Linked DNA regions of Cricetulus griseus. The protein of the gene in region 1 binds, or shares a complex with, the protein of each later gene. Links are inferred from orthologs where the notes say so. Each region holds a gene or a part of one and is shown on either strand. Other genes may lie near its edges. The genes, in order: Vamp2 and Stx8.

Region 1 (16,027 bases):
GCCTTGAACTCACAGAGATCCACCTGTCTCTGCCTCTGAAGTGTTGGGATTAAAGGCTCTCAGATTTAGTTCTTTTTTTAAGATTTATTTTTAATTATTTGTATGTGTCTGTGTATGCACATGTGCATTTGAGTGCGAGTGCCCACAGAGGCATTGGATCTCCTGAAGCTGGAGTTCCAGGTGGTTTCCAACTGCCAGATGTGGGTCCTCGGAAGTGAACTGGAGACCAGGCTGGCCTCGAACTCACAGAGATCCGCCTACCTCTGCCTCCCGAGTGCTGGGATTAAAGGCGTTCGACACCAACGCCCGGAACTCAGTTCTTTTTGTTTTTCGAGACACGGTTTCTCTGTGGCTTTTTGGAGGCTGTCCTGGAACTAGTTCTTGTAGACCAGGTAGGTCTAGGAACTCACAGAGATACACCTGCCTCTGCCTTCTGAGTGCTGGGATTAAAGGCGTGCGCCACCAACGTCCGGCTTTGGGCATGATTCTTAATTGCTAATTGACATAAGAGGATCTGGCTCACTGTGGGCAATGCCACCACGGGCAGATGAGCGTAGGCTCTTTAAGAATACTGGCTGAGAATGACACAGGGAAGCAAGGCAGTAGGCAGTGGCCCTCTGGTCCTTGTGGTTTCTGCTTCAGTTCCTACCACCAGGTTCCCACCCTGGTTTTCTTTCATAATGGAGTGAAGCCTATAAGGTTTCATAAACTCTGTCCTCCACAAGCTCAGTGTTGATTAAAGCAACAGAAAGCAAGCTAGAGCAATCAATCCTCCTGCCTTCTGATAGCTGAGATTACAGGTGTTTGCAGCCACACTCAACTCTGGGGAGTTTTTAAAATAAATTTTGAGTAGATTATATATTTATGCATAAATATATGATTTATATTTGTGATAAGAGATATAAGAGAATACTATAAAAGAATACTGGCACATTTAACTGTACAAGAAAGTTGGGATGGGGTATAGCTCAGTGGTAGAAGGCATGCTTAGGATACACTAAATTCTGAGCCTAATTCTTAGTTCAAAACATTAACACTCTGCACAGTAGCTGGTGATGGTAGTGCATTCTGATAGCTCCGGAGAGTGAGGCAGGAGGATTACAAGTTTGAAGCCAGTCTAAGAGACTTGGGTGACACATTGTCAATAAAAACAAGCAAACATATAGCAACAAAACTTATGCATAGTAAAAAAAAAAAGGCAAAAGTTAAAAGCCAGATGATACTGTTGAGAAAATATTTGTAAATCATTTTTAGAGAAAAAGTTAATGCTGACATAAAAATCTACAGATCTCTAAGAAAAATACAAAAAACTTAAAAGCATACAATAATTTTTGTTTTTTTGAGACAGGATTTCTCTGTGGCTTTGGAGCATACAATAATTTTATAGGCATTTCACAGATAAGGAGAGTTAAAAGAACTATTAAACATGTGTAGTGGGCTTTCTTGGGCCACCAGCCCCCAAATCATGACAGAGACTTATTATTAATTATGAATGCTCAGCCTTTACTTAAAATTGTTTCTAGCTAGCTTTTTATTTCTCATCTTACTTAATCTACCCATTTCTATTAATCTGTGTGCTGCCTGGGGCTCATTTATCTCATCTATGTGCTGTCTGTCTGGGCCCTTGCTGTCTGTCTAGGCCCTTGGCTGGCTCCCTTTTCTCTCTGCTCACCAGCCCCTCCTATCCCCCTTCTCTGCTTAGCTATTGGCCATTCTGGCCCCCCCCCCCACATTCTGCTTTTTATTAGACCAATCAGTTGCCTTAGGCAGGCAAGGTAAAACTGCAACACTGTCTTTACATAGTTAAACAAATGCAGCATAAACAAAAGCAACACACCTTACATAATTAAACAGATGCAACACATCTTTACATAGTTCACAAATATTCTAACCCACAACAAACATGTGAAAAGGTCTCATATCATCCACCCTATGAGAAATGAAAACTGTGTTTAGTTAATATGTTTATTTATGGCTGAGGCTGGGCGGTGGTGGTGCACTCCTTTAATCCCAGCAGAGGCAGCCGCAGGAGGATCTCTGTGAGTTCGAGGCCAGCCTGGTCTACAGAACAAGTTCCAGGACAGACTCCAGAGCTACAGAGAAACCCTGTCTCAAAACAAAACAAACAAAAAACCCAACCCAAAACAAAACAAAAAAATGTTTATTTTTAAGATTTATTTTTACTTATGTGTATGTCTATGTCTGGGTGTGTATGATGTGTGTGCGGATGCTTGAGGAGACCAGGAGAGGGTGCTGAGTCTTCTGGAGCTGGAGTTAAAAGTTGTGAGCTGCTGAATAGAGACTGGGGACTGGGAGCCAAGCTTGGGTCCTCCAGGAAAGCAGCAGATACTCTCAACCACGCCTAAAAGGTTTCATAGCATCTAGGAGATGTGGGTAAACAGGCCTTACCTGTTTGCTGGGTGGGAAGAAAACTTGGTAGCACACCCCTGGAGAGCAACTTGGCAGTATCCATCAAAATCACAAGAACCTTTGGGTTTGGGATTTATTTTTCCAGCACTAGGGTTGAATCTAAACCCAGTGGTGCTAGGCAGGCACTCTACTAATGGATTGCATCTCTATTTCTTTTTTTTTTTTTTAAGATTTTATTTATTTATTATGTATACAACATTCTGCTTCCATGTATATCTGCACACCAGAAGAGGGCACCAGATCTCATAACGGATGGCTGTGAGCCACCTGTGGTTGCTGGGAATTGAACTCAGGACCTCTGGAAGACCAGTCGGTGCTCTTAACCTCTGAGCCATCTCTCCAGCCTGCATCTCTATTTCTTTACTCTTTTCAGTTTGATATGTTGGGTTTCCCAGGCTGACCTTTACTCTGTAGTCTAGACAGCCCTGACACTTGTGATTCTCCTGCCTCACCCTCCTGAGTACCTGGATTAGGTCTCCCACCAGGCCCATCTCCATCTATGGTTTGATTTCCTTTTTTTTTTTTTCCTTTCTTTTCTTTTTGGTTTTCCCAGAAAAGGTTTCACTGTGTAGCCCTGGCTGTCCTGGAACTACCTCTGTAGACTGGACTGGCCTCAAACTCAAGAGATCCATCTGCCTCTGCTACCTGAGTACCGGGATTAAAGTGTGTTCTACTGTGCCTGGCTTTGAGCTAGGATTTTCATATTTAGAAATTTACCCTACATATTTTCGTATAGGTAAAATCGGAATGTGTAGAATGTTCTTGGTAGCTTTGCTTAGGTTGAGCCGGGCATTGGTGGCACAAGCCTTTAATCCCAGCAGAGGCAGGCTGATCTCTGAGTTCGAACAGAGCAAGTGCCAGGATAGGCTCCAAAGCTACACAGAGAAACCCTGTCTTGAAAAAAAAAAATCTTTGCTTAGGTTGGCTTAAGGTTAACAATGACCTAAATGACTGTGTATAGTGGATCAATTAAATCATGTTATAGCCATACGGCAGGGTACTACAAATCATAAAAAATGTGAATATTGTACCCTACATATAACAGAAAATCTCCAAATTATGTTAAATGGAAAATCGTAGTGCAGAGCAAAACAGTCTATATAGATTGCTTACATTAGGACGAAAAGATTAAAGACTATGTCTGGAAGGAGGCCCAGGCACTGGGGTGTCAGTTGTTGGGAATGGGGCACCCGGGACTCAAGAACAGAAGCCGTCTTTTGACCTATGTGCTCTTCTGAAGTTCTGAAACTCTGAGTAAAACTTATGTATTCATTAATTTGTTTTGGGGACAAGGTCTACCTGTATAGCCTGGCTGGCGTCAAACTCCTGCATACTTTCTTTCTGAGACTCTTAAGTATTAGGATTACAGGCATGTGCCTCTATGACCAGCAAAAAGTTTTTGAGGTGATAGGGGCTCAAACCCTTGAACATACTAGTCAAGCACTCTACCACTGATCTACATTCCAGCACTAAATAACTTTTTATTTTATTTTGAGACAGGGTCCAACTGTCTCTACCTCCCCAGTGTTGGGATAAAAGGCCATACCACCACACCAGGTCCTAAGAAACTTTAAAAAAATAAAAGCACAGGACTGGTTAGCTGGTTCAGCTTGTAAACTGCACGCTGCCAAACCTGACAGCCTTTGTTTAATCCCTGGTATCAACACGGTAGAAGGAGAAAACCAACTTCCAACAAGCTGTTTTCTGACACCCCCCCCCCGCCCCCAACAAATACAATAAATAAATTGTAATAAGAAATAAAATAAGTTCAGTGGTGGTGACACACATCTTTAATCCCAGCACTCAGGAGGCAGAGGCAGGAGGATTTCTGTGAGTTCAAAGCTAGCCTGGTCTACAGAGTGAGTTCCAGACCAGCCAAGGCCTGTTACACAGAGAAACCCTGTCTCAATAAATAAATAAATAAATAAAATGACATTTGAGTGTCTGTCTGTCCAGGTCACTAACTCAATTTCACCCTCAAGGAGTGCATGTGTTTTTTTTTTTCTTAATAAACTATTTTTATCACTCAAAACAAAACAAAACATTCTCTTCTTCCTTCCTTCGTTCCTTCGTTCCTTCGTTCCTTCGTTCCTTCCTTCCTTCCTTCCTACAACTAGCTCTTGTAGACAAAGCTGGTCTCCAACTCTCAGAGATCCACCTGCCTTCTTTCTTTCTTTCTTTCTTTCTTTCTTTCTTTCTTTCTTTCTTTTTTTTTTTGAGACAGGATTTCTCTGTGTAACAGCTCTCTGACTGTCCTAGAACTCTGTAGACCATGCTGGCCTCCAGCTCAAAGGGATCCACCAGTCTCTGCCTCCTGACAACTTTATTTTCCTTAAAGACAGGGTCTCACTATGTAGCCCTGGATGGCCTGGGACTCAAATTGAGGTACCAAAAATTAAAATTAATAAAAGTTTAAAAACTTAAGCCCTGAAAAGGAAACGTCTAATGGAAAAGGAAAATTTAACTCCTTAAATCAGGAGTGCCATGGCTGTCGCCTGATCCCATGCTCTCAGAGAAGGGGAGCTAACTGTCCACCACTCCTGTTAACATTCCTTTGCTAATTACTGGCCATAAAGATCCCCCAACCCAGGGGATAACTGACAGACCCTGTGACCCTGCAATCCTACAAGCTCATGCCCTGTCTTATCTCAGTCAAATGTATCTCCCTTAAAATGTATAGTTACTGACTAACTCTGTACTTTGTATGACCTTAAGTAACCATGGAAACTCTGTAATTTGTGGCCTTCAACCTTATGGTCTGCCCCTTTAAAAGCTTCTCTTTTTGGCTCATTTGCCTGACATGCAGTGAGATCCTAGCTGGCCAGCTTGAAATAAAAAGAAACCTTTTGCTTTTGCATCAGAGTGTCAACTCCTTGGGTTAGTCTCTGGGCTCTGAGAACTTGGCACAACAAAATGAGATCTGCCTGCCTTCCCCTTGAGTGCTGGGGTTAAAGATCGGCACCACCACTTTCCCTACTTATTTATTTATTTATTTATTTTGAGTCTTACTTAGTACTCTTCACTCCTGATATGGTGCTTTGTATTTGGGTAGGGAAACTACACAGATGAAACAGATACCATTTAAAACAACTAGGTGCCATGATATAGGCTTGTAATTCCAAAATTCAGTAGACCAGCCTGAACTATACAGTGAGACCATGTCTCAACAAAGAAATGGGTCCAGTGACATGATTCACCAGGACCTGCTGCCAAGCTTGATGACCTGGGTTCAGCCACAGAATAAGGTGGAAGGAAAGAAAAGCCTTTAAGTTGTTCTTTGATGACCACATATGATTTCCCAATAAATAATACAATTTTGGGGGGAGTTCTCTGTGGCGTTGGAGGCTGTCCTGGAACTAGCTCTTGTAGACAAAGCTGGTCTCCAACTCTCAGAGATCCACCTGCCTCTATCACCCAAGTGCTGGGATTAAAGGCGTGTGCCACCACCACCCGGCTAAATAAGGCAATTTTGAAAGCAAACAAGATAGCTAGGAGTGGTGGTGTGGTGTTTTAATCCCAGGACTCAGAAGGCAGTGGCAAGCAGATCTCTGTGAGTTCAAAGCCAGCCTGGTCCATATAAGTAAGTTCCAAGGCAGCCAGGGCTGTTATATAGAGAAACCCTATTTCAAAAACCAAAACAACAACAGAAAGGAAAAAAAAAAAAAACCTAAATCAAAAAACACCACAAGATAATACTTTTATTATTTGTGTGGGTATATTTTCTAGAAGAGGGCTTCATCCCCTGGAGCTGTAGTTGTAGGTAGTTGTGATCCACCTACTGTGGTTGCTGGGAACAGAGCTCCTCTGGAGGATCAGCAAGCACCTCTTCTCCAGCCACAAGGTGTGACTTTTATGTGTATACGTTATCCTTACTACAAAGACTTGCCGAAGGGATGCCAATAGGGCTGGGAGGCAACATCCTATAGTAGAGCTTTTTCTTAAAATGCACAAGACCCTGATTTCAACACCCAACATTGCAAACACAAGCAAGGAATCAAACCAAACCTTCCTGTCTGTGAGGAAAAGTCAACATGAAACCAAACCAAATCAAAAAAAGACCCCATCGAAGCAATGCTCTAAGCTTAGCTCTGCCCAAATATGTCAATAATGTATCAGTGTGTCAAATGCTATCAACATTCATAAGGGTACAGCTTGTAATAGCAAGAAATTGGAAACAATCTAAAAGTTGATGAGAGCTGTATTGAGAGGACAAACAATAAGGTCCCAGAAATTAATCACTGGTTTCTCAAGGTTTGACTCATGAGGATGGAAGGAGTTCATGAGTCAGTGTGGGAATGATCCAGCCCCCTTCAGCCCCAACTTAAAACGCTGTGAAGAGGATGACAATGGAAGCAAGCTTTTATTAAAGTGTGACCTCTGTATGGCCTACATCAGAACCCTGAAGGAGCTTCTTAGGAGTAAACCTTGGGCCAGGCGGTGTTGGTCCATGCCTTTAATCCCAGGACTTGGGAGGCAGAGGCAGGCTGGTCTTGAACTCAGAGAGATCTGCCTTCGGAATTCTGGGGTTAAAGGCATGTGCCACCACCACCACCACGTGGCAGCTTAACCACTGAACCATCATCTCTCCAAGCCCCAGTCTTTCGCTTGTTTTGAGACAGTATCTCATTTGGCAGACCCATCTTAAACTCTGAATTCTCCTACTTTACCGTCAAGCGCAGGGGTTATGAACATGCACCACTAAGCATAAAAAGAGCTTCAAGAACTGGGCCTAGCAACTCAACTGTCAATCCCCTGAAGCAGGCAAATGTAGACGAGACCCTTTGAGATTAAGGCTCTCCGTTATCCAAATACTGCCTGTGCTTCGGCTCAAGTCTGAGTCTCAGTCGTACTGTTTGCAGAAAACATTCTCTACACATTTCCAGGTGAACCGGGTCGTTCCACCGCAGCCTCCTCCCACCCCCAGCATTGATCTAAATTTAGAATTTCTTAACACCGCAGTGGAGATGGGCTGGGCTGGGCTGTACAGTGACAGTTCTCTCTCTGAGTCCTACTGGGTCCTTTCCACTGTTAACTCTGCTATTGCTGTCCCCAGAATCCCCTGGGAAGAACAACTTTCCCAGGGATATGACTAGGCCTAACCTCCCCAGGTTTGTCTGTGACTCTTGTCTCTTCCATAACCTCTGCCCTTTGCAATTGGCTAGACAACATGAGTATCGTCCCTAAACCAGAGTCTGAGATCTTACTGTTTCCTTTCCAGTCGAGGCAGAGCTGGGCTGTGTGGGGGGCTCTGCTTACAGTTGCTCTTTTCCCACTCTCGAGGATGTTTCCTATCTAGACACTAAAACATTTAAACTTGAAATAATGGAATTTGGCATCTTTGTTCTCTGATTAGAAAGGGGGTCTCAGGGACAGAAAACTAGAGCCTCACGGCTGATCTGAGACCCCCCCACCGAAGCGGCTCTTCTCACCAGCTCAGCCTCACGAAGAGCAGGCTCATGGCTTCTCCTGGGAGAGGGAGGCAGCCAAGAGCGAATCCGGCCCCAGCACACACTCCCCTGCTCATTCACCTCCCCCAGACAGCTGGGAAATAACACCTCTCACGACACAACCGGTCCTGGGGCGGCTGCTGAGAGGGGGTGGGGCACTGCTGCAGCACAGGAGGATCTCACACCCCGGAGGCCCTGGAGTGGGAGGAAGGACGCCAGACCCTGCCTGTCTTTGAGATTAAGGCTCTTTTGGGGATGTAATAAATACTCCCACCTCAGAGTCACTAGTCCTCCCCTAAAGTGCCTCCTTCACCCCGGAGGCTTGCTAAATAGACAGCTGGCTCCCTGGTCCTATCTCTAGATGTAGGATGGGAGTGTGTGCAGCTGCTGTGGCTGTTTAGCGTACTTAAAATGGAGCAGTCAGGGATGGACCAGGTCTAAGATAATCTCCTATTCTATTGTCTAGATCAAGCCATTGAGCAAATATTTATTGACTGTCTACATGTGTGATGTATTCAGTTGGTTCTGTCAAGGCTGGGCAGTTGACCCCAGTCGGGGACCAGCCTGCGCTTACCAGGAGGCACAGCACCTCCAGGCAGCCTTTGCCCTTCCTGGAGTCTTTAGTTTGTCTCATCTTTGTGGGGCCCCCTCCAAGGACACCTGGTCTGAACTTTATCTGTGAGGAGGGGCAGCTTTCACAGTTCTTAGTGTGTGTATGTTTGTGCATGTGTGTGTGTGTGTGTGTGTGTGTGTGTGTGTGTGTGTGTGTATGCGTGTGTGTGGGGGGGGTCGGGGGGGTTGTCTTCTGTTACTCCTTTTGCTCATACCCTGCTAGGAAATCAGAGGCCCGAGACCTCCCTTGAGCCATTCAGTTGCAGGGTGATGATGATGGGTGAGGTCAGTTCTCACAACTCCCCAACCCCAGCGTCAGGATTCCAGTTGTCAGTATTGCCCTGGCCGCTTCTCATTTTCCACTCTGAGGGAAATCCACCCTTTCCAGGAGCTAAGGGCGGGTCACCAGGTGTTGGGACCAGTTGTAGGGCGAGACCTTAGGCTGTGTGAGGTAAGGACCGGTGTATCAGCTTCAGGGATGAGGGAGGGTGTAGTTTAGGGGTGAGGTGTGGGTCTCGGTTGTGGGTACCAAAAGAGGCAGGTGGCAGATGCCTTGGGGGATGGCGGTGGGCTTGCGGGCCAGGCCCACATCGTAGGGTCGACAGAGCCGACTAGACGACCCCAGCCCCTGCAGCGCCCCGCCCCGCGGTCCGCTAGCGACGTGTCGCCTGCCGCGCCCCGCCCCCGCCGCAGTGCCCGGATGCGGGTGACGTGCGGCCGCCATCTTCCAGTCCCGGGCAGCCAGCGCCAGTCGGAGCCAGTGCGAGCCGCCGCGCGCCGCCGCCGCCGCCGCCGCCGCCGCCATCACTGCCTCTGCCAAGTCTCTGCCCGCTGCCCCCGCCATGTAAGTCGGCCGCCCGCCCGCCACTCGCCACCCTCTACCTTCTGCCCCGCGCGGGCCGCCACCCCGAGGAGTGGGCCGGGAAACACGGGGGTCCCGCCCGCGCCTCTCGTGCCGCGGACCGGGCTGGTGTCCGTGACTGCGCTTGGACGCCCGGAACCGGTCCCGGGCGGTCTGGCACGGGCGATGGCCGCAGGAGGGAGCGGACCCAGCGTCTACCCGCCCCGCCCCAGCCACCATGGCTGTCAGTCATTTCGGGTCGACCCCGGGCAGCATCTCTGAGGTCGCTTTCCTTTAACCGGCGGGGAAATTGAGGCATAAGGAGGGTCTCTCAAGGTCACGCAGCTCAACCGCAGCGGGGCCGTAGAATGGCTGGGTTTCCCATCGGGTGGCTTTCCTCCCGCAAGGGAGGACTGGAGGGACTATGGATGGACAGGTGGATGGGTGGAGCCCCGGCCGCAGGGCCCAAAGGCCCTGAATCTTAATCCGTTTCTCCTCCGTAGGTCGGCTACCGCTGCCACCGTCCCGCCTGCCGCCCCGGCCGGCGAGGGTGGCCCCCCTGCACCCCCTCCAAATCTTACCAGTAACAGGAGACTGCAGCAGACCCAGGCCCAGGTGGATGAGGTGAGTGTGTCAAAAGTGTAAGATGATGGGACTGGCAAATAGGTGTGGGAGCCCATCTTGGCTTGAAGGTGATGACAGTTTTCACGCTTGTGGGTTTTGGGTCAGAGCCCTGCCTTGTCCCAGCTCCGTTTCCCTGTCAGCATGCACTTGGAAGGGCTGTGGGGTGATAATCAGTTGTGCTAGCTTGGGGTGTGCCAGCTGGGGCAGGTGCGCTCTGGTCAAAGATGAGGGTGTTGCTGTGGTAGCTGAGGTGTATGGCTGCAGCATGCCCCTGATGTGTGCTCCTTGCATGTCCCCAGGTGTGCTAGGCATGTTCTTTGTATGTCCTTGGCATGTTAGCCTGGAAACATCGGGGTGCATGTTCCATGTGTGGCACATGGGCACGTGTTCAAGAAGTGCCCTCCTTGAGGCGTGCCTTGGCACACCCCCTGCCTCGTGGACCCCTCCCCCAGGTGGTGGACATCATGAGGGTGAATGTGGACAAGGTCCTGGAGCGGGACCAGAAGCTGTCCGAGCTGGATGATCGTGCAGATGCCCTCCAGGCAGGGGCCTCCCAGTTTGAAACAAGTGCAGCCAAGCTCAAGCGCAAATATTGGTGGAAAAACCTCAAGGTAAGGGGGACGGAGATGGGGACAGGTAGGAGGGCCAGTGGGTGACTGGGGTGTCACCATTGGTCTCATGGACCCTCCCTCTCACTCCTAGATGATGATAATCTTGGGAGTGATTTGCGCCATCATCCTCATCATCATCATCGGTGAGTGGGGCAGGAGTGGCCAGGGCCCTTTCCCGGGAGAGGTAGAGGCTTTCCCTGTGGATTCTGGGTTTTGAAGGTCATTAACCTAGTTTTTACTCTTCAACAAAAACACATTTTGCTGCTATTGGCAATTCTGATTCATCAAGAGCCAAAGCACTTGGCTCTTGTCTAGCCTTACTTTGCCTAGTTCTGGATAATTTCTGTTAAGATTTTGAAAATAGGAATACTGGGTGGGACCCCCGGCACTCTACTAAGAACCATTTGGGCCTCAGAGCCCAGTCTGGGCTACTAGAACTGGGGAGCAGGAGACAGTAAGGGTTGAGGGGCTCGGACACCACCAGGAAACCAACTATTTCACTATTTGAGCATTTGTAGTCACATGCCCAGTAGATTAAAAGTTTTGTGCCCCTTTGTCCTATCATGGAGTTTACAGGATCTTAATACCCACTTATCAAGTCCCTTTGCTATATAGATGAAGAAATGAGACAGAGAGGGGAAGGGATGTCAGACAGTGGGGGAGTGGGGAGGTTTGGAACAGGGCCAGGCCTGACACGCTGCTTTCTTTCTCTTTCTACCCCTCTCCCTCGTCCTCCTCTTACCCTCTCTCCACAGTTTACTTCAGCACTTAAATCCCTGAGGAGTCTGCCCTGCCTAAGAAGGGCCTCTCTCCCACCCCCAGCCGTTCCTCCACCTCTCAGCCATATCTTTCAGCCCCCCTCCCTTGGATCCGTGTGTGTGTGTGTCCGTGTGTGTGCCCCCTGTAAATAGCCAGCTGTTATTTATACATATATAATATTATATATATTTGGTCTGTTTGTAGTTTTATTACTAGAAGATTTTTTCCGGTTGTCCTTAACACCCCTTCCTGAGGTTCCCCTCACCTCTCTCTCTCTCATCCTCTGTCCCTTTTCCTCTTCTCCTGATAGCCCTAAGTCCCTTCATTTGCATCTGCTATGCAATAGCCCCTTTTCTTCCCTTGGATTTAACTGACCCTTCCCCTAGCTTCCCTAAACAATTCCTGACCCTCCCAAGACAAAAAGCAAACTCCACAGAAACAAACAAACACTCCTACCTGTCCAGGCTTCCCTAGGTTGCATCTTTGAATCCCTTGGAAAGCTCTGAGACTGGTCCCACTTGGTCCTAAGAATCCCAGAATCCCAAGGTTTTCTGGGAGCTTCCAATATATTAATTAGCTTATCACTTGCATAATGTCCTTTTAGTTTCCTTTCTGTTCCACCACTCTTTACTCTTCTGTTTTTCCTTTCTTTTCTGAAGAGTTAGTCTCCATTGGTCCTCTAATCACACTTCATTTGCACGACATTACCTGCAGGTGGTGGGGAGCCTGGGCTTTTGGGGAACCAGGCTCTGGGCCCCAGAATTGCCCCCTCCCAGCCCCTCTAGTCTAGTTTACCTCCTTTACCCCATTTTCCAAACCTGTTGTACCCTCCTCTCCCTCCCCCCAGCCGGTGTGTAAGTGTCTTGGAGTTCAGTGTGTCATGATGGACCAATAATTCTGCCACTCGGAGTCTCTCCCTACATTCCTGCTCCCCAGTTTTCATGTGGGGCACTCAACTGACATTCCCAGGGGGTCTCCCTCCCTCCCATCTGCCTGATTTGCCTCCTCCTCCCACCAGGAGAATTGGGGATTGACCACAATCTGATTCTTTGAGGAGGGGTGGCTCCAGTGTGTGTGTGTCATCACTGCCTTGGGGAGGAGTAGGACAAAATAGAATCCCCCCAATTCCTGCCTGAAACCTCTGGCCTCATCTTGCTAGAGGTCGGACTGAAAACTTTCCTCCCCAATCTGGGGAGGGGTGTTGCCCCCATCACTGCCCAGCTCCTTTGACTGCCCCCCTGTATTCAGGGCGGGGGTATTAGTCACTGCCAATATGTGTATGGGACTTGCTGGATGATGGGGATCCTGGCCTTTCTCCAGGGCTGTTGAGCCCAGAGAGAGAGGGGGAGAGAGAGAGAGAGAGTGCAAGCTATTCCCTTTTTGGGTGAAATGACAGAGGAAGGATCTGATCTTTTTAAATGGCACAGTTTTAGGGGTCTGAGGGTATACAGCTCCTTAACCTGCCACTGGGGTGGGGAGTATCCCCAGAGTCTTCCCCCAAAAGGTTTTCTGTGTGGAGGGGAACCAAGGAGATCTAAACTGTGGTGTGAAAGGGTAGGAGAGATGCTGGGGGTGGGGGTGCTTGTGTTCTAGACCCCCAATATTATCCCAGTGTCCCCTGCCTTCCTTCTTCCCCTACCCCATGCCCCCGATTCTGTGGCGCATCCAGATTGTGAAAATGTACAATAAACGTGTAATGAGTAACCAGGTGGTGTCTACAATCTCTTTCTTAACCAGTAGTAAGAGTATTGAATCTTCAGTTATAGTGGGGTGGTTGAAAAGATTCACTGGGAGGAGCTGGCCTGTTGCTGCACGCCCTGACCCCAATTGGACCCTTGCAAAGTGTGATTCACAAAGTGGCCATGTGGGGCACCAGGAGACAAGAATTGAAAGTATCACTAAAGAACATGGGATCTAAGCCAGGTGAACTGGAGTATGCTGCTACCATTGAATTCCTTTATCTCTTAAAATTTGCTCTGGTTACCCCTTAGGCTCTTTCATAGCCATCCACTCCTGGGCTACTTCTGTAGATGGCTTGATGAATGCATGAAAGGGTCACCCTTATGAGACAAAGCCAGCTGTGGCATAAAATGGCATACCTCCCTTGCACTCTTATGGGATTTTGTTTTAAGATTTATTTATTATGTATACACTGTTCTTCTGTTCTGTCTATATATAGGCCTGCTGGCCAGAAGAGGGCACCAGGTCTCATTACAGATGTTGTGAGCCACCGTGTGGTTGCTGGGAACTGAACTCAGGACCTCTGGAAGGGCAGTCAGTGCTCTTAACCTCTGAGCCATCTCTACAGCCTGTGGGATTGATACTTTAGCCCCTCTCTTGAACTCTCAAAGCACTGTCTCCATGTATACACTTTAGGGGCATCAAAGAGATGTAGCTGTATAGGAAAGAGGCAGTGTTTCTGGTTGTTCTCTATATTCAGGATATGAGGGACTAGTCACTGCCTGTGTGTGGGTACTTGGTGGATGATGGTGACTCTTGCCTCTTCAGGGCAGTTGAACCTAGAGAGAGAGAATTGAATGGCTAAGAACCACCACTAGGCTGACCGTTGGTGGCGCACGCCTTTAATCCCAGCACTCGGGAGGCAGAGGCAGGTGGATCTCTGTGAGTTCAAGACCAGCCTGGTCTACAAGAGCTAGTTCCAGGACAGCCTCCAAAAGCCACAGAGAAACCCTGTCTTGAAAAAACAAAACAAAAAAACCACCGCTAGAAGGCCATGTGTGGTGCACGCCTTTAATCAACCATGCAGGAGGCAGAGGCAGGCTGATTTCTGAGTTTGAGGCCAGCCTGATCAACATAATGAGACCCTGTCTAAATAAAATAAAATAACATTTGGGTTTTTTTTTTTGGGGGGGGGGCAGACAGGGTCTCAACTATGAAGCTCTGACTGTCCTGGAACTCATTATTAGACCAGGCTGCCCTTGATTTCAAGTGCCTCTCTGCCTCCCTCGAGCTTCGATTAAAGGCATGTGCTATAACAAACCTGACCAAGAAATAAGAACTATTAGAAGTACTTTTTCTTTTAAATTGGTTTTTCAAGACAAGGTTTTTCTGTGTAGCCCCTGGCTGTCATGGAACTTGCTCTGTAGACCAAGCTGGCCTTGAACTCAGAGATTTGCCTGCCTTTGCCTCCCAAGTGCTGGGATTAAAGGCATGTGCCACCACTGCCCGGTTTAGAGGTACTTTAAAAAATAGATTTTTTTTCCCCACCAGTGTTGGTGGTGCACCCCTTTAATCCCAGCACTCGGGAGGCAGAGGCAGGTGGATCTCTGTGAGTTCGAGACCAGCCTGGTCTACAAGAGCTAGTTCCAGGTCAGCCTCCAAAAGCCACAGAGAAACCCTGTCTTGAAAAAACAAACAAACAAAAAAAACCAAAAAAAAATTTTTTTTCAGGCCCTTTCATTGGACATTATTTTAGAGGTTCTAAGGTGCCCAGGTGTCTTGTATTTAGCAATACTCCACCGTAACTTCTATCTTTATGGGAGAGTTTAAATACGTTAGGCTTTTTGCATTTAATCCCTGAAATTACTTCTAGGCTTAAGGTTTCCATAGGCCTAAGACACCGACCTACCTTCACGGTGTCAGAGCTTTTAAATCAACATGTTAACATGGGAATTCTGACAGATTATGTAACCCCTGCATCTCAGTCTCTGTGAGGTTATGAGTAGTCATCAGGAGTCTGCAAGAAGCGTCTGATACAGAAAACAGGAGGCGACTGTCATTTTCACTATCATCGTCATGCAATCTAAAGACCTCTTCTTATGTTCAGATTTAAGCTTTGGGGATAATCGGAGACACAAAACTCGGGCACCAGGAGCCTCTTGTCTTGGCAGGGTCTCTACTAAGTATCCCCACTACGCCATAGCCTGTCACATCTACGCCTGCGTACAAGTCGCTCGGCAGGCCTGCGCAGACTCCACAGTCTTGGGTAAGTGTCGTCAAGGAAAATCCCCAGCTTCTCGGTAAACAAGTTGCCGCGTGAGCCGGCCCGCACGTGTTCCCTACATCTCCGAGACCTCTCAGCCTATGAGAAAGTTTTTAGGGCAGGGCTGGCATTTGCGTCACCGATTTAGGCAGGGCGGGGCTGTTTCCACAGCCAATAAAAGCTTTGGGAGTGGGCGAGAGGTGTGGCTTCCGGTCAGATGTCCAATCAACGCGCTGGGGCGCCCCCTCCCTCACGTGGCTCTATCACTACCGGTTGTCATGTTGCCCAATGGTAAGATGACTGCGCCCTGAAGTGCCAATGGTGGCTTTGCAGGGGCTTGTCGGCTGCACGCGGCGCGGGGCATGGGTTGGCGCCTGTAAGCCAATAAGCTTGGGAGGCGTGACAGAATGGGCAGTGGGAAGGCCTGGAGGAGCCTGTGGAGTAGCTTCCCAAGTAGTGAAGAAATTTGGATTCTGCGTGCGATCGGAACTGTGAGTAGCCCCCTACTCTGGGGCGGTCGAAATGGGTTTTTCCCGGGAGGATTGCTCGGCCAAAAGGGGTGTCAGTGGCGTGGTGTGTGTGTGTGTGCGTGATCATGCAAATGCGCGATGGTTGCAATAGGAGTGCTTGACGGTTGTGGACTGCAAACTCAGCTCTAGGGGAACATGGATGGGAGTTACTAGCATACATCTCTCAGCTCTCTAGGGTCCCTAGACCCTATTGCCTAGCCTAGAGTGCTCAGAAGCCCTCAGCCACCCGA
Region 2 (16,209 bases), about 1.1 Mb from region 1:
TCAGGATGAAGTCTCAATTTTGAACTTTTATGCCCCAAATACAAAGGCATCCACGTTTGTAAAAGAAACATTACTAAAACTCAAATCACACATAAAACCGCACACACTTATAGTGGGAGATTTCAACACCCCACTCTCACCACTGGACAGGAACACCAGACAGAAACTTAACAAAGAAACAAAAGAACTAATAGAAGTTATGGCGCAATTGGGCTTAACAGATATCTATAGAACATTCCACCCAAATACAAAACAATTTACCTTCTTCTCAGCGACACATGGAACCTTCTCTAAAATCAACCACATACTTGGCAACATAGCAAACCTCAACAGGTACAAAAATATTGAAATAATCCCCTGTGTCTTATGGGACCACCATGCCTTAAAATTATAATTCAACAACAACACGAACGACAGACAACCTACAAACTCATGGAAATTAAGTAACACCCAATTGCACAATTCATGGGTCCAGGAAGAAATAAAAAAAGAAATTAAAGATTTCCTAGAATTCAATGAGAATGTGGATACAACATACCCAAACCTATGGGATACTTTGAAAGCAGTGCTAAGAGGAAAGTTCATAGAGCTAAATGCCCACATGAAGAAACAGGAGAATAATCACACTAGAGAATTAACAGCACAATTGAAAGCTTTAGAAAACAAAGAAGCCAATACACCCTGGAGGAGCAGACGCCAGGAAATAATCAAATTGAGGGCTGAAATAAATAAAATGGAAACTAGGAGAACAATACAAAGAATCAATATAACAAAAAGTTGGTTCTTTGAGAAAATCAACAAGATAGACAAACCTTTATCCAAACTTACCAAACAACAAAGAGTGAACATGCAAATTAATAAAATCAGGAATGAAAAGGGGGACATAACAACAGACACAGAGGAAATCCAGAGAATCATCAGGTCATACTTTGAAAACCTATATTCCTCAAAATTTGAAAATCTAAAGGAAATGGACAATTTTCTGGACAGATTTCACTTGCCAAAATTAAATCAAGAACAGATAAGCAACTTAAATAGACCCATAACCCCTAATGAAATTGAAGCAGTCATTAGAAGTCTCCCAACCAAAAAAAGCCCAGGGCCAGATGGCTTCAGTGCAGAATTCTACCAGAAATTCAAAGTACAGCTAATATCAATTCTCCTCAAAGTATTCCACACAATAGAAGCAGAAGGGTCATTACCAAACTCTTTTTATGAGGCTTCAATAACCTTGATACCCAAGCCACACAAAGACACAACTAAGAAAGAGAACTACAGAACAATATCCCTCATGAACATTGATGCAAAAATTCTCAAAAAAATATTGGCAAATTGAATCCAAGAACACATCAGAGAAATCATCCATCCAAGTAAGGTTCATCCCAGGTATGCAAGGATGGTTCAACATACGAAAATCCATCAATGGTAATCCACCATATAAACAGACTGAGGAAAAAAAAATCACATGATCATCTCACTAGATGCCAAAAAAGCCTTTGACAAAATCCAACACCCCTTCATGATAAAGGTCCTGGAGAAATTAGGGATAACAGGAACATACCTCAACATAATAAAAGCAATATACAGCAAGCCAACAGCCAATATCAAGTTAAATGGAGAGAAACTCAATGCAATTCCTCTAAAATCAGGAACAAGACAAGGCTGTCCACTCTCTACCTCTTCAATATTATCCTTGAAGTTCTAGCTAGAGCAATAAGACAACAAAAGGAGATCAAGGGAATACAAATCGGAAAGGAAAAAGTCAAACTCTCACTATTTGCAGATGATATGATAGTCTACATAAGTGACCCGAAAAACTCTACCAGGGAACTCCTACCGCTGATAAACACCTTCAGCAAAGTGGCAGGATACAAGATTAACTTAAAAAAATCTGTAGCCCTACTATATACGGATGACACATTGGTGGAGAAAGAAATCAGAGAAGCATTACCCTTTACAATTGCCACAAACAACATAAAATACATTGGAGTAACACTAACCAAAAAAGTGAAAGACCTGTACCATAAGAATTTTGAGTCTCTAAAGAAAGAAATTAAAGAAGATACCAAAAAATGGAAAGATCTCCCATGATCTTGGATAGGCAGGATCAACATAGTAAAAATGGCAATCTTGCCAAAAGCAATCTACAGATTCAATGCAATCCCCATCAAAATCCCAACACAATTCTTCACAGACCTTGAAAGAACAATTCTCGACTTTATATGGAGAAACAAAAGACCCAGGATAGCCAAAACAACTCTGTACAATAGAGGAACTTCTGGAGGCATCATCTGACTTCAAGCTCTATTACAGAGCTATAGTCCTGAAAACAGCTTGTTATTGGCACAAAAATAGACAGACCAATGGATTAGAATTGAAAACCCTAATATTAACCCACACACCTACGAACACCTGATTTTTGACAAACAATCCAAAGTTATACGCTGGAACAAAGAGAACATCTTCAACAAATGGTTCTGGCATAACTGGTTGCAAACATGTAGAAGACTGCAGTTAGACCCAAGCCTATCGCCTTGCATAAAACTTAAGTCAAAATGGACAAAGACCTCAACATAAACCCAGCCACACTGAACCTATTAGAAGACAAAGTGGGAAATACCCTTGAATTAATTGGTACAGGAGACTGCTTCCTGAACATAACACCAGTAGCACAGACACTGAGATCAACAATTAATAAATGGGACCTCCTGAAACTGAGAAGCTTCTGTAAGGCAAAGGACACAGTCAGCAAGACAAAACCATATTCACCAACCCCACATCTGACAGAGGGCTGATCTCCAAAATACACAAAGAACTCACGAAGCTAGTCTCCAAAACACCAAACAATCCAATTAAAAAATGGGGTACAGAACTAAATAGATAATTCTCAATAGAGGAATCTAAAACGGCTGAAAGACATATAAGAAAGTTCAACATCCTTAGCCATCAGGGAAATGAAAATCAAAACAACTCTGAGATACCATCTTAATCCTCTCAGAATGGCTAAAATCAAAAACACCAATGACAGTTTATGCTGGGGAGGATGTGGAGAAAGAGGAACACTCCTCCACTGCTGGTGGGAGTGCCAACTTGTGCAGCCCCTTTGGAAATCAGTATGGCGACTCCTCAAGAAAATGGGAATGAGTCTACCACAAGATCCAGCAATTCCACTCCTAGGCATATACCCAAAAGAAGCACATTCATACAACAAAGACTTCTGTTCAACGATGTTCATAGCAGCACTATCTGTAATAGCCAGAAACCCCTAGATGCCTAGATGCCCCTCAACCGAAGAATGGATGGAGAAAATGTGGTACACTTACACAATGGAGTACTACTCAGCAGAAAAAAACAATGGAATCTTGAAATTTGCAGGAAAATGGATGGAACTCGAAGAAACCATTCTGAACGAGGTAACCCAATCACAAAAAGACAAACATGACATGTACTCACTCATAAGTGGATTTTAGACATAGAGTAAGGGATTACCAGCCTACAATCCACACTGCCAGAGAAACTAGTAAACAAGGAAAACCCTAAAAGAGACAAACTTTGTCCCCTGGAGAAGGGGAAAGGGTCACCATCCCCTGAGCAAATTGAGAACATGGGAAGAGGGGGGAGGAAGATACGAGAGTGAAAAGGGAAGAAAAGGAAGGATGCAGAGGTCATGAGGAAGCAGAAAGGTTGAGTCAGGTATAGATTAGAAGAAAGGACATATGACAAGTAGGATTTTAGTTGGGGGGGGGGTGGTAGGGGAGGAAGGGAGGGAGAAGGTAACTGGGATTGTCTTGTAATTCAATCTTGTTTGTAATTCAAATATATAAAAAATAAAAAACTAAAACAAAAAAATTCAGTGAATGAAATATAGACTATTTTATATTTTAGGGGACCAGTCATAATTTATCAAATTGGGGGAAAAGAAAATTAGATACAACATACCAAAACACACTCCTGGGGTACTCGTGCATATGTACACCACACACACACACACACACACACACACACACACACACACACACACACACACACACACACACACACACACACAGAGCATGACCCCGATCTAGATATGTTTTCAGACGTCTAAGGTCAGAACATTAACTCTTCTAAGGGTATTACCTTAGGTGTCTTTTCACCTCTTCTTTCACACTGATTTCGTTGTTGAATTTTCTCAGCAATTTCTTGGGCAATTTGACAAGTAGAATCATATGTGGAGAACCTGAAATCAAAGTCATACAAAGAGGAAGAGGTTTAAAGTTCTTTAAATAAAGTCCTGGTTGGGTGTGGTGGTGACACAGGCCTTTAATGCCAGCACTGCAGAGGCAGAGGCAGGCAGAGTTCTGTGAGTTCAAGGCCAGCCTGGTCTACACACACACACACACACACACACACAGAGAGAGAGAGAGAGAGAGAGAGAGAGAGAGAGAGAGAGAGAGAGAGAGAGAGAGAGAAGAAAAGAAAATGTTGTGCCAGGTTCAAGGAGTCCCATACCAATCCCAGGAGTAGACACTGATGCAAAAGCAAAAGGTTTGTTTTTATTGTTCAAGCTGGCCAGCTTGGATCTCACTCCATGGTGGGGAAATGAGACGCCAACAAGCCAAAGAGAGAAGCTTTTAAAGGAGCAGACCGTAAGGTTGAAGTAACTTAACGAAACGTCTCAAACTTTTTTAAAAAGTGAATAAAGGCATAGCTCAGTGCACGAGACTCAATCACCAGCATCAGAAAGAAGAAAAGTGTTTAACTTGGGCTGGGGATGTGGCTCCAGGTCCTACAGAGAGAACTTTGTTGTGAACTTCACAAGCACTTCAGAGACAGTGTCACCCCTAACCCTAGACTCACATATACATCAATATGCATCATTCAGTATATTCAGGTATAGGTATGTGTATGAAAAAGAGCAGGTGGTTAATATATATTATATATGTTTTTTTGGGGGGGGTGTTGGAGGCAGGATTTCTTTGTGGCTTTGGAGGCTGTCCTGGAACTAGCTCTTGTAGACTAGGCTGGTCTCAAACTCACACAGATCTGCCTGCCTCTGCCTCCTGAGTGCTGGGATATAAGGTGTTTGCCACCACCACCTGGCTTATATATAAAATTTTTTAAAAAGAGAGGCAATAAGGAAAATAGTCCTAGCCCCGGATTCCCCACATTTTACTTGTTTGCCTTCACACTATCAGCTATGAAGACAGGAGCTTAGTCTTGCTCTGTAAGGGCAGATCAAACATATAAAATCCATAACACAATTCCATCAAATACGAGACCTAAATTAAGTACCTCTGGAGTTAGGATGGGAGACATTACTGATGTCAGAGGTGCTCAGATTGGCTGGGCTGCAAGAGGACATCTTGGGCTGACTTCCAGACTAAAGCAGATTTCCATACTGGAAGGAGGGGTGAAATCTAAACACCATGGAAAGCACAAGCACAGAAGAATTGAAGAAAGCATGCCTGACCAAGTACTGGCCCTGTTAGCAGGGTACATTTAAATAGGACAGATTAGCAGAGGTCAGTTTCTACAGAACTTGGCACAGTAGTCTAATGAGATCTGACTCAGGGGAATTTTACCCCAAGACACTGAAGCATTAGAACTCTTTTACTGTTAGTCTCAATTGTTTTACTCAGTGGCTTTCTCATTTGACAGTTGAAAGCTTTCTTGTGTTGCTGGTGACCAAACTCAAAGCCTTGCATGTAGTAAGTTCTACCACTGAGAAAAACTGAAATATATGAACATTCAGATGATGTACTGATATGCATGTAAAAATCATTTTTAAATACTACTTAATGATATGGAGACACGCTTCCTGTTGTGTAAAATACAAGCAGGATATAGATTCAAACAATAAAAGTCTTCAAAAGAAGTTAACATTGGTTCTTTCCAAATGATGAAGATGCTATTTATTTTCTTTCCTGCAGATACTCAGTAGTCTCCAAATTTTCTACCAGGGGTGTACACAATTGTTGAAACTTGTGTGTGGGGGGGAGTAAGAAGTGTTAAATTCAGCAATTTCCTGGGCATGGTGGCTGCATGTAATCGAACCACTTAGACTGAAGCAAGAGGATCAGGAATTTAAGGTCAGACTGGGCTCTCTGAGACAATGGAAACAAAGCACACAAACAAATGAAAGCCCAAGAAAATTTCAGCAACTAGCCCAAATATCTCAAATCCCAGGTAACTCTAACTCTGACCTTGGGATCCACTCTCCTAATACTTAAAATTGTCTGCCATCAAACAATTATAAACTGTACCAGAAACACCCACATAAGGCATATCCTCCAACAAGAACTTTATAGAAATACAATGTTATAAATTATTAAACAGGAAGGTCAAGACTGTATAGCAATGTGTTCCTTGTGTGAACACATTTTCTTCATTCTTTCCTTGGGGCTTCATTGCTGAATAAATGGCCCTTATCGGGTGCTGACTTTTGCACTAGTTCTTGCTGACGTTAAGTCTTCATGATACTGACACAGGAAAGGGTAAACTGCCTATCACAAGTGCAAACTTCCCTCCCAGATTGCTACAAGTCTTATTGTGAAGAGCCCATTACACCTATGCCCAGCTAACTACTAACTGGCTGGGGACCATGGAGTCTGAACCTCAGTTTCTTCCCTTTCTGGGGATTAATGGGTGAAGGCAGAGACATCCCACCAAAAGGTTATTTCTACTTCACTTTTACAGGACCCCAGGGGAGTCTACACACGCAGTCATCCACAGGCAGGTTAGGCGAGAAGCCCCCACAGAAGGCGGGGGAAAATATCGATTCTGCTCAAGTCCCAGCTCCCCCAGGTCACGGTGTCCCCCTCCGACCACCGAGTTAGCGCCGGGGAGGCGGGATGTGGTTGGGTCCCCAAAACAGGGAAAGGATCCTCACCCGCTTTGCTCACCCCTAAAAGCTGACAGCCTCAAGTTCAACGATGGCCAGGGTTTATGCGAATCCCTGGGAGCCACTTCCACCCCAAGTCCTACGGCAAACTACTGCCAACACCAGCAACTCACCAGGGGTCCGGGGCCATGGTGCAGTCTCCGCCTGCAGCTGGGACACTTCCTGCTCACAGCAGCTGACTACGGCGGCCCGCGCGGCTCATTCCCCGCAGTTCGGAAGGTGCGCGACCCGAGCCCAGCGGACAGCACAGAAAACATATTTTAGGGGCCTCAAAACCACACCAACCAAAGCTCACCCCTGGGAGACAGTGGATTGCAACAATCGATTTTTAGTTAATTCGTACGAACTGCTGGACGCAAGGAAAATGGTTAAATTGTTGAGCAGAATCAAAACCTTTTCCCAGGGATGGAAGCGCTTCAGACTCCGGCTCTCGTAGTTCTTCGCATTTTTTTTTTTTCTTTTTTTCTGATTCAAAAACAACAGAGCAAGCCGGCTGTGATACCTCGCGCCTGAATTTGCCGTGCTTGGAAGGTTGAAGCCGGAAATATTCATACAAGCAACGTTCATAGTGATACATACATGAAAATAGTTGCATACTGTACTTAAATTTTTAAAGTGATCTTTTCAAAAAGAATTCTTTTACAAGGAGGTATCAATTCCGTGTTTTGTTTTGTTTTGTTTTTTAATAGCAGCCTACGCATCAGAGGCAATTCTCTGTGTTCAATTACTTTTAATAGTTACCATAAGAGGCTTAATTTTATAGTTAAGACAAAAGTCAGAGTTTACACGGGAGACGAGGGAATTCATTCTGCATATTCAGTATTCACCTAACACCTAAATTTCTAGAATGAGTGAAAAAAATAATAAGGAAGCCCTCCCTACATTTACAAAAAGGTAAATAAAGTCGAACTCAGTGGGCTGGATTTCTGCTCCAGCGTAAACCTAGCACGCATGCGTGCGCCAGTTACCATAACGACCAAAAGACGCTGCAGCCAGGAGTTGAGGAATCAATGAGTTGAAATTCTCCAAGATGGAAGAACAAAATTTACCCGAAACCGAGACCGACGTAGCCGAACTGGAGCTTGAGGCTGTGATCGGCTTCAATGGTGAGGCCTGGAGCATCCATAATACCCCAGGGACAAGTGAGACACTGACTTGGTGGCACCTGAGAGGCCGTGGGGACAGTGGCAAGAGCCTAGCCAGGCATCACCCACGGTGATGAAGGATCTTAGCCTCATTCCCGAGCCTCAGAAATTGGAATGTGCCTAACTCAGTCTCTCTCTCTCTCTCTCTCTCTCTCTCTCTCTCTCTCTCTCTCTCTCTCTCTCTCTCTCTCTCTCTCTCTCTCATACGCGCACACACACGCACCCCTGGGAGCAGTCCTTGGCTCTGAATATTCCCCCAACCCCCACCCCCATGCATCCCCGGGTAACACCCAACCTGGGGCAAACAAACAAACAAACAAACAAACAAAAAAACACCTTTCCACACCCCTTGCTGATCTACAGTTGAGAAAGGCCTTAGGTGGAACTGCTCTAGGGGTGCTCTGTGTCCTCTGTCCCAAGTAAGGACTCTCAAAGGTTTAAAAGACAGGGATGGGAGGGAAGAGGACGTAAAGGGAGACCGCCAAGGGAGAGTCCTTGTTGATTCTGGAGAGGCCTGGCCGCTGTCATTACTTGTGGCTGTCATAAACAATGCCAGAAATTGCTGTGATGGGGGAGGGGTCGTGTTTCGGGAGTCGCGGAATCAAATTTTGGGGGTAAAACCAACTTTTTAAAAATCGAATTGTGATGCCTGGAAGCTTTACAGTTAGTTGTAAGAATGTAGTGCAGAACGATTACTGAGTAAACTTTTAAGCACTTTGGACCTTAGTTCCTGAGTCTTCATTGTACTCTACAGCTCTAACTGAAAGCCAGCATTTCCTGTATCTGAGCCAGCATGGTCTTTAGAGATGGATGGAGATTACTGATAAGGAGTGACCCCTAGTGAACTGCAAAAACATCTGGTGAGCCAGTGCAAAGACAGGCAGAGATCTGAAATGGAATTCTTGCTAACATAATGCAGTTGTTAGAAAGAAAATGGCACCCAAAGGGAAGTAGCACTAATGAAGGTTTGGCCTTGTTGGAGGAAATATGCCACTATGGAGGCCGATTTGAGGTCTCATGTATGTTCAAGCCAAACCTAGTGAGTCAGACAGACCACTTCCTGTTGCCTGCAAGACGTAGGACTCTCAGCTATTTCTCCAGCACCATGTCTGTCTGCACGCCACCATGTCACACCACGATGATAATGGACTAAACCTCTGAAAATGTAGGCCACCCCAATTAAATGTTTTTTCCTTTATAAGAATTGCCGTGGTCATGGTATTCCGTCACAGCAATAGAATTCCTAAGACACATACTAACTAGCTATCAGAAGAATGAATTGGAAAGGTTTATCAAAATTTGGAAGAAAGGTTGATTTTTTTTTCTTTTTTTTTTTTTTTTTTTTACTTTGTATGAGTGCTTTATGTTTTACTTTCGGGGGCCAGAAAACAGTATCAGATCCCCTGGGACTAGAGTTACAGACCAGTGTGAGGCTCATGTGACTGCTAGAGATCAAACACCCGAGTCCTTTGGAAAAGAAGCCATTGTTTTTAACTGCTGAGCCAACTCTCCAGTGTTTATTGGGTGGGGGATGGGCATGTAAGTGCGGATACCCATGAAGGCCAGAAGAGGGCATGAGATCCCATGAAGGTGGACTTACAGGTGGTTGTGAGTATCCTGGGAAGTGAGTTCAGGTTCTCTGCAAGAGCAGTATGCACGCTTCATTTTTTGCTGAGACTTTCTTAAGCCCATGGCAGAAAGCATTTTACTGAAGACTTGAAGGAAGTCAAGGAAAGAGTGACCTCTTTGAATTTAAATAGTCCTTAAAATAGGATAGGACAATCAGTGACTAAGGATTGGGGTGCAGATGATTCCAAATAGCCAGAATAGGGGAGGAATGTGGGGAAATAGACAGCATAGGGCTTGCTTAATGAATAGCAAATAGTTTGCTTGAAGCTTTAGGACAAGAAACAGAACCTGGGCTCAGAGATCAGAGGCCTTAAACACTAGGTAATGGAGCTTAGAGTTTCCATGGAACTAATCTGAAATTGAAAGCAAGCTGGAAAGGGTGGTGGACATCTTTAATCCCAGCACATTAAAGGCATGTGCCACCAATGCCTGGTGTAATCTATGGCTTCTTTCACACTGTTCTAGCAGAGATGAGTAGCAACAACAGAGACTGTATGGTTCAAAGAGTCTAAAATATTTATTTCCTGGCTCTCTATAAAAAGCTAAACTCAGCAGGGCAGTTGTGGCTCACACCTTTAATACCAGCACTCAGGAGGCTGAGGCAGGCGATCTCTGTGAGTTAGACATCACCCTGGTCTACAGAGTGAGTTCCAGGACATTCTCCAAAGCCACAGAGAAACTGTGAGGAGGCTGTGACCAGGCAGGAAAAGGCCTGGCTGAAGAAAGATTAAAAGAAAGGGAATAAGGCCCACTACCCAGAGAAAATGTGTGGTGTGTGGCAAAGTGTGATTAGCAAGATTTAGCAAGCTATTTAAGGGACCAGCTCAGAACTGGGAATTTTAGAGTGTACCACGACTCTACGTCCTGGAGCTCTCCTCCACTAACCTGAAACAACCAGTCTATTAAACGGAGAGCCGCCCTTTCTGAAACCCAACAGCACGACCTCAAGAGACTGGGCAGCCTGAATTCAGAGGAGCCTAAGTCCCAGCCCCAAACTTGAGGCCACTGCAGGAGAGGTAACCCCCTGCTATGAGCCTATTGTCTGTGGTTCTTAGGATTGTTTGCTTATGCGTGTGTGTGTGTGTGTGTGTGTGTGTGTGTGTGTGTGTGTGTGTGTGTGTTACTTTGACCATAAGTGTGAAGTAAAACTTATATACTCAGAACCAACTCGCTTAGTTTGTCATTCCTCCCAGGTCAAAACCTGGTAAAGGCTGGAGACAGAAACCCTGTCTCAAAAAAACCAAAAAGCTAAACTCCTAAAATAGATAATGGTAATAGTAATGATGCTGATAATAATAATAAAATGATAAATAAATAATAATAATAATAAATAAAACCTAAAAGTGTTATTAAAAGTGACATCACTTTTTATTTCTCACATTGGCAAAGGCTAAATATATGGATTATGCTTACAAAGGTGAGACTAAGGAGTTTTCATTTGCAATTGCTAGAAGTATAAATTGCACCACCTTTAGAAAGAGGAGTTGGCTTCATTTGTAAAGTGATTGCAGCACAGCCATAAGGACCCTGAGTTTGGGTCTTCAGCAGTCACATAAAAAGCTGAGCACAGTGGTGGATATCTGAAACCCTAGGACTAGAAGGCTCAGGGAGGACAGACAGAGTCAGTCCAACCAATCAGTATGTTCTAGGTTCACTGAGGGCCCCTATCCTAAAAAATAAGGTGGAGAGCCAATGGAAAAAGACAATCTGTCTTCAACCTCAGGCCTGCCTACACACACACACACACACACACACACACACACACACACAAATTTCCCCTCTTGAAGGAGCCATGCACTGTGGGCCTAAAATCTTGCCTTGACTGCCCAGTATTGTGATCATGATAGTTTAGTTTCTATGGTATGGCCTTGCTTTCTCATTACTACTGCCCACTTTTCACATATATTGATTGTGTTTCCTGAAATTATTTTTCTTCTCTATTTAGCCAGAGTTGACTCTCTTTGTTTGCAACCAAGAATTTTTTACAATTTTATTTATTTATTTATTTTGTTAGACCCCCCAGAAAACTCAGGTATCCAGGGTCCCAGGCTACGTTCACGGTCACCCCAATCACCAGGCAGATTCGAGAGCTTGCTGCAAACTGCATGAGGCTTTATTGTAATTTAACGAGCTAACCCCATGTTAGCTCGGGTCTTTCACCCACCTGCCATGGTGGATGGCTCACAAAAGACAACTCCTAGGGCCTCCCAAGAGATCTTGTAGGGCAGCGTAAAGGGAGTGTCTAGGGGTACGCAGAGGCTCACTATTTGTGTGCCTCCAGCCTTGGAGGGCTTGCCCTATGTTGATTGGTCAACTGGTTGTTATGGCCCATAGGCCCTCCCAGGGTGGTTGCTATGTTCTCTACGTCATTGCTGTGAGCTTGTCCGCAAAGCACACCCAGAGTCATAAAGCATAGCACCACCAGCTAACTTCTGATTGGTTCCTTGTCACGAAGCAGGCATCTGACTTTCTAGTGACTAACTAACTTCTGATTGGTTCCTTGTCACAAGGCAGGCATCTGACCTCTAAGTGACCAAGGCAAGTTTATGGCAAGCACGTGTTCAGCTGTTATGGCTGCCGAAAGGGGAGCTGGTCCCATCAATTTGGTTTTTTCAAGACAGGGTTTCTCTGTATTGCTTTTGTAAGACCCTCAGAAAGCTGAGGCTTCCGGAATCTTAGTCCAGGACGGCGGCCACCCCAAACACAGAATGCAGGCGAAAGCTTGATGCAAACTGCACGAGGCTTTATTGTAATTTAACGAGCTAACCCCATGTTAGCTCGGGTCTTTCACCCACCCGCCATGGCGGACAGCTAGAAAAGACGGCTTGAAGCTGCTGCGCATAGATCTTTATAGGGCAGCGTAAGGGGATCTTTATAGGGCAGTCTAGGGGTACGCACAGGCTCACGATTGGTGTGCCTCCAGGCTTGGAGGGCTTGCCCTGTGTTGATTGGTCAACTGGTTGTTATGGCCCATAGGCCCTCCCAGGGTGGTTGCTATGCTCTCTACATCATTGCTGTGCGCTTGTCCGTAAAGCACACCCAGGGTCATAAAGCATAGCGCCACCAGCTAACCTCTGATTGGCTCCTTGTCACAAGACAGGCATCTGACCTCTAAGTGACTAAGGTTCCTTGTCACGAGACAGGCATCTGACCTCTAAGTGACCAAGGCAGGTTTATGGCAAGCACGTGTTCGGCTGTTATGGCTGCCAAAAGGGAAGCTGGTTCCTTCACTTTGGAGCCTGTCCTGGAACTCGCTCTGCAGACCAGGCTGGCCTCGAACTTTTGCCTGCCTCTGCCTCCCAAGTGCTCCCAAGGCATGTGCCACCAATGTCTGGCTGCAAGAATCTTAACTATGTGTAGTTTGAAAGAAAATGGCTCCCATAGGCCCACAGGGAGTGGCCCTATTAGGAGGTGTGGCATTATTGGAGTGGCCTTGTTGGAGGGAGTGTGTCACTGGGGTGGGCTTTGAGGTCTCAGATGCTCAATCTAGGCCCAGTATGTCTTAGTCTCTTCCTACTGATGTCAGATCCGTATTTAGAACGCTCAGCTACCTCTCTAGCACTACTGTTCTATTGCAATGCTTCCCACCGTGGTGACAATGGACTAAACCTCTGAACTCTAAGCAGCCCTCATTAAATGTTTTCCTTTATATGTTTGCGGTGGTCATGGTGTCTCTACACAGTCATAGAAGCCTCAACTTAGACACTATGTAACTGAAGACATATGCACCTGTCTTAGTTACTGTTCAGTTGCTGTTAAGAGATACTGTGAACAAGGCAACTTACAAAAGTAAGCATTTAACTGGGGGCTTGTGCATAGTTTCAGAGGGTGAGTCCATGACCATTGTGGTGGAGAGAATGGCAGGAGACAGGCAGGCATAGTGCAGAAGCAGTAGCTAAGAGCTTATCCACAAGCAGTAGGCAGAGAGAGAGAGAGAGAGAGAGAGAGAGAGAGACGAGACAGTGTTCCTGGCATGTGCTTGTGAACCTCAAAGCCTATCCCTCAAGTGATACATCTTCAACAAGGCCAGTCTCCTAAATGTTACAAAAACTGTTACACAAACTAGGGACCAAGCATCCAAACATGAGCCTATAGGGCCATTCTCATTCAAACCACTGCATTCCACTCTTTGGCCCCAATAGACTTGGTAGCCATATCATAGTGCAAATGCATTTTGTGTAACTCCAAAAGTCTCCACAGTCTTTCACAGTCTCAACACTGTTTAAAGTCTGTTCTGGTCCTCAAGGCAATGTCTTAACTGTGACCCTCTGTAGCAAATTACATAGGCCAGCATTCAATGACACAGACTATACATTACTGTTCCAAAGGGGAGTAAAGGGAGCATGGCAAGGAAATATGAAAGCAAGATTGAAACCTAGGAAGACTAACTCCAAATTCTGTAATTCTATGTCTGCTGTCCAAGGACTTTTAGGATCTCCAACTCCTTCCAGCTTTGCTAACTGCAACTCTCTCTCTCTCTCTCTCTCTCTCTCTCTCTCTCTCTCTCTCTCTCTCTCGGACTGTTTCCTGATTGCATTTATCCTTAGCAGGCATACCATGGCTCTGGCATCTCTTAACATCTTGGGGTCTCCAATGCAATCCAGGTGTCACTTTCATGGCTTTAAAAAGTGGCTTTTCTGAGCCACCATGCAAGTACTCCCCTGCCACACACCTGGCCTCAGGGGTTTTGCTTAGCCACAGAGGAAGATTTCACAGCCCCTTTATCAGTTCATACTGATAAAGCCAGAAACAGGTGGCTGAAGCTGCTTAGCATTACAGCCTGTTAGGGATAGAAAGTGGTCCCTCCCTGCATTACATTTTCGGATGTTTTGACTTGTTGATGCTTTCCTTTGTTACTCAAGCTTTCCTTTTTGCGAGTTGCAGATTATCTGGGTAAGGTATGAGCCTTAAGGTACCACTCCCTTCATCCCACTTAGCATCAGGTCTGTTTTTAAACTTATCTCCTTGAGCACAAGATTTGACTCCAACACTACTTTTCCTGGTGTTTTTTTTTTTTTTCTCCTCACATGTACATTTTTTAATTTCTTTTTGCCCCACTTCCTCTTTTTCATTATAGATCTGTATAAGAGTGATCACCAATAACCATATGACATAGTTGTCTTGAAATCTCCTAGACATTCGTCCAGAGCCTCTGGAAGATTTTTAGGACAAGGGCAAAAAAGAGCATCATTTTTGCCAAAATGTCATAAAAGTGATCTCTAGCTTATTTGCTAATATTTCTTACCTCTGTTACCTCTTGCTTCCATAGTCCACATTGCACTCAGCACTACTGTCTTCCAAGCTCCTTTGAGGATGGCCCATTAAGCCATGCTTACAGCATTCATCCTCTGCCCTAATACAAAGTCCCAAAGTCCACATTCCACTAACAAGCAGCATGAACAGGCCTGCCACAGCAATATGACATTGCCTGGTACTAACTTCTAGCTTTGTTACTGTTCTATTGCTATGAAGAGACATTATGACCAAGGCAACTTGTATAAGAAAGGATTTAATTGGGGGCTTGCATACAGTTTCAGAAGGTGAATCCATGACTATTATGGGAGGAGAAATGGCAGGAGGCAGGCTGGCATGGTACTGGCACAGTCCCTGAGGTTTGACATCTTATTGACAAACAAGAGACAGAAAGAGAAAGAGACTGTGCCTGGTGTGGGATTTTGAAACCTTGAAGCTCAGCCTCTCCAACAAGGCCACATCCCTCCAACAAGGTTACACCCCTCCAACAAGGTTACACCCCTCCAACAAGGTCACACCTCCTAGTCCTTCCTAAACAGTTCCACCAATGGAAAATAAACATTCAAATATTTGAGTTTATGGAGATCATTCTAATTCAAACCACCACACACCAGACCTCAACACCAACCCCAACACTATCCCTAATCCCCAAAACAATCCAATCCCCAAAGCAACCCCTACTCACATTAACTCCAACTCCAACTATAGCACTAACACCAGCCTCAACCCTAAACCCAACCTAACCCTGACCAATGCTTACTAATTTTCAAGGTCCTTTGTCCAATTCATATTTTTACTCATTTTTGTTGTTGTTGGGAAATGTACATTTTTCTTATTGCTTTGTAGAATTTCTTTGTATATTAATTGAAAGCCCCTTATAATCTCTGTATATTACAAATCCATTCTGGTTTGGACTTTTCATTTGGCTTTTGTAGCTAGAAATTCCAAATTAAACACAACTGGACAACTAATCAATCTTTGCTGGTTTTTGTACCTGGTTAAAAAGTCATTTCCAGATCTGTGTAAACATCAGGTTCTGTTTTTCACATTTAGATCTTCGATCTACCTGGAAGGTGTTATTCATGTGTAGTGTGAAATAGCAATCTTCTTTTACCTTTACCATATGGGTAACCATATGAGTGTTTATAAAGAGCCCAAAATTATGAACAAAATTATATAGTTTTAGTAGAAATAGATGAAAGACTAACTTTACTTTCATAAAAACTTCATAAAGGAGGGGGCAGGCATGCTAGCACAAACCTTTATTCCCAGCCCTGGGGAGGCAGAGGCAAGTGACTG

What was found.
Region 2: Vamp2 (region 1) and Stx8 share a complex: the UniProt entries of both Homo sapiens proteins name them as parts of the SNARE core complex. The link is inferred for Cricetulus griseus from reciprocal best matches to the Homo sapiens genes VAMP2 and STX8.

What each region holds. Positions count from the first base shown.
Region 1 is NC_048600.1:82,952,484-82,968,510, forward strand, and holds Vamp2 (vesicle-associated membrane protein 2), read left to right. Parts: upstream 1-9,188; 5' UTR 9,189-9,331; coding exon 9,332-9,333; intron 9,334-9,833; coding exon 9,834-9,954; intron 9,955-10,406; coding exon 10,407-10,565; intron 10,566-10,656; coding exon 10,657-10,708; intron 10,709-11,320; coding exon 11,321-11,337; 3' UTR 11,338-12,171; coding exon of another isoform or gene 12,172-12,182; 3' UTR 12,183-13,031; downstream 13,032-16,027. UniProt on the Homo sapiens protein: Involved in the targeting and/or fusion of transport vesicles to their target membrane. Major SNARE protein of synaptic vesicles which mediates fusion of synaptic vesicles to release neurotransmitters.
Region 2 is NC_048600.1:81,822,949-81,839,157, reverse strand, and holds the start of Stx8 (syntaxin-8), read right to left. Parts: upstream 7,132-16,209; 5' UTR 7,014-7,131; coding exon 6,997-7,013; intron 4,220-6,996; coding exon 4,120-4,219; intron 1-4,119. Other genes in the region: Cfap52 (cilia- and flagella-associated protein 52), read left to right, coding at 7,914-7,989. UniProt on the Homo sapiens protein: Vesicle trafficking protein that functions in the early secretory pathway, possibly by mediating retrograde transport from cis-Golgi membranes to the ER.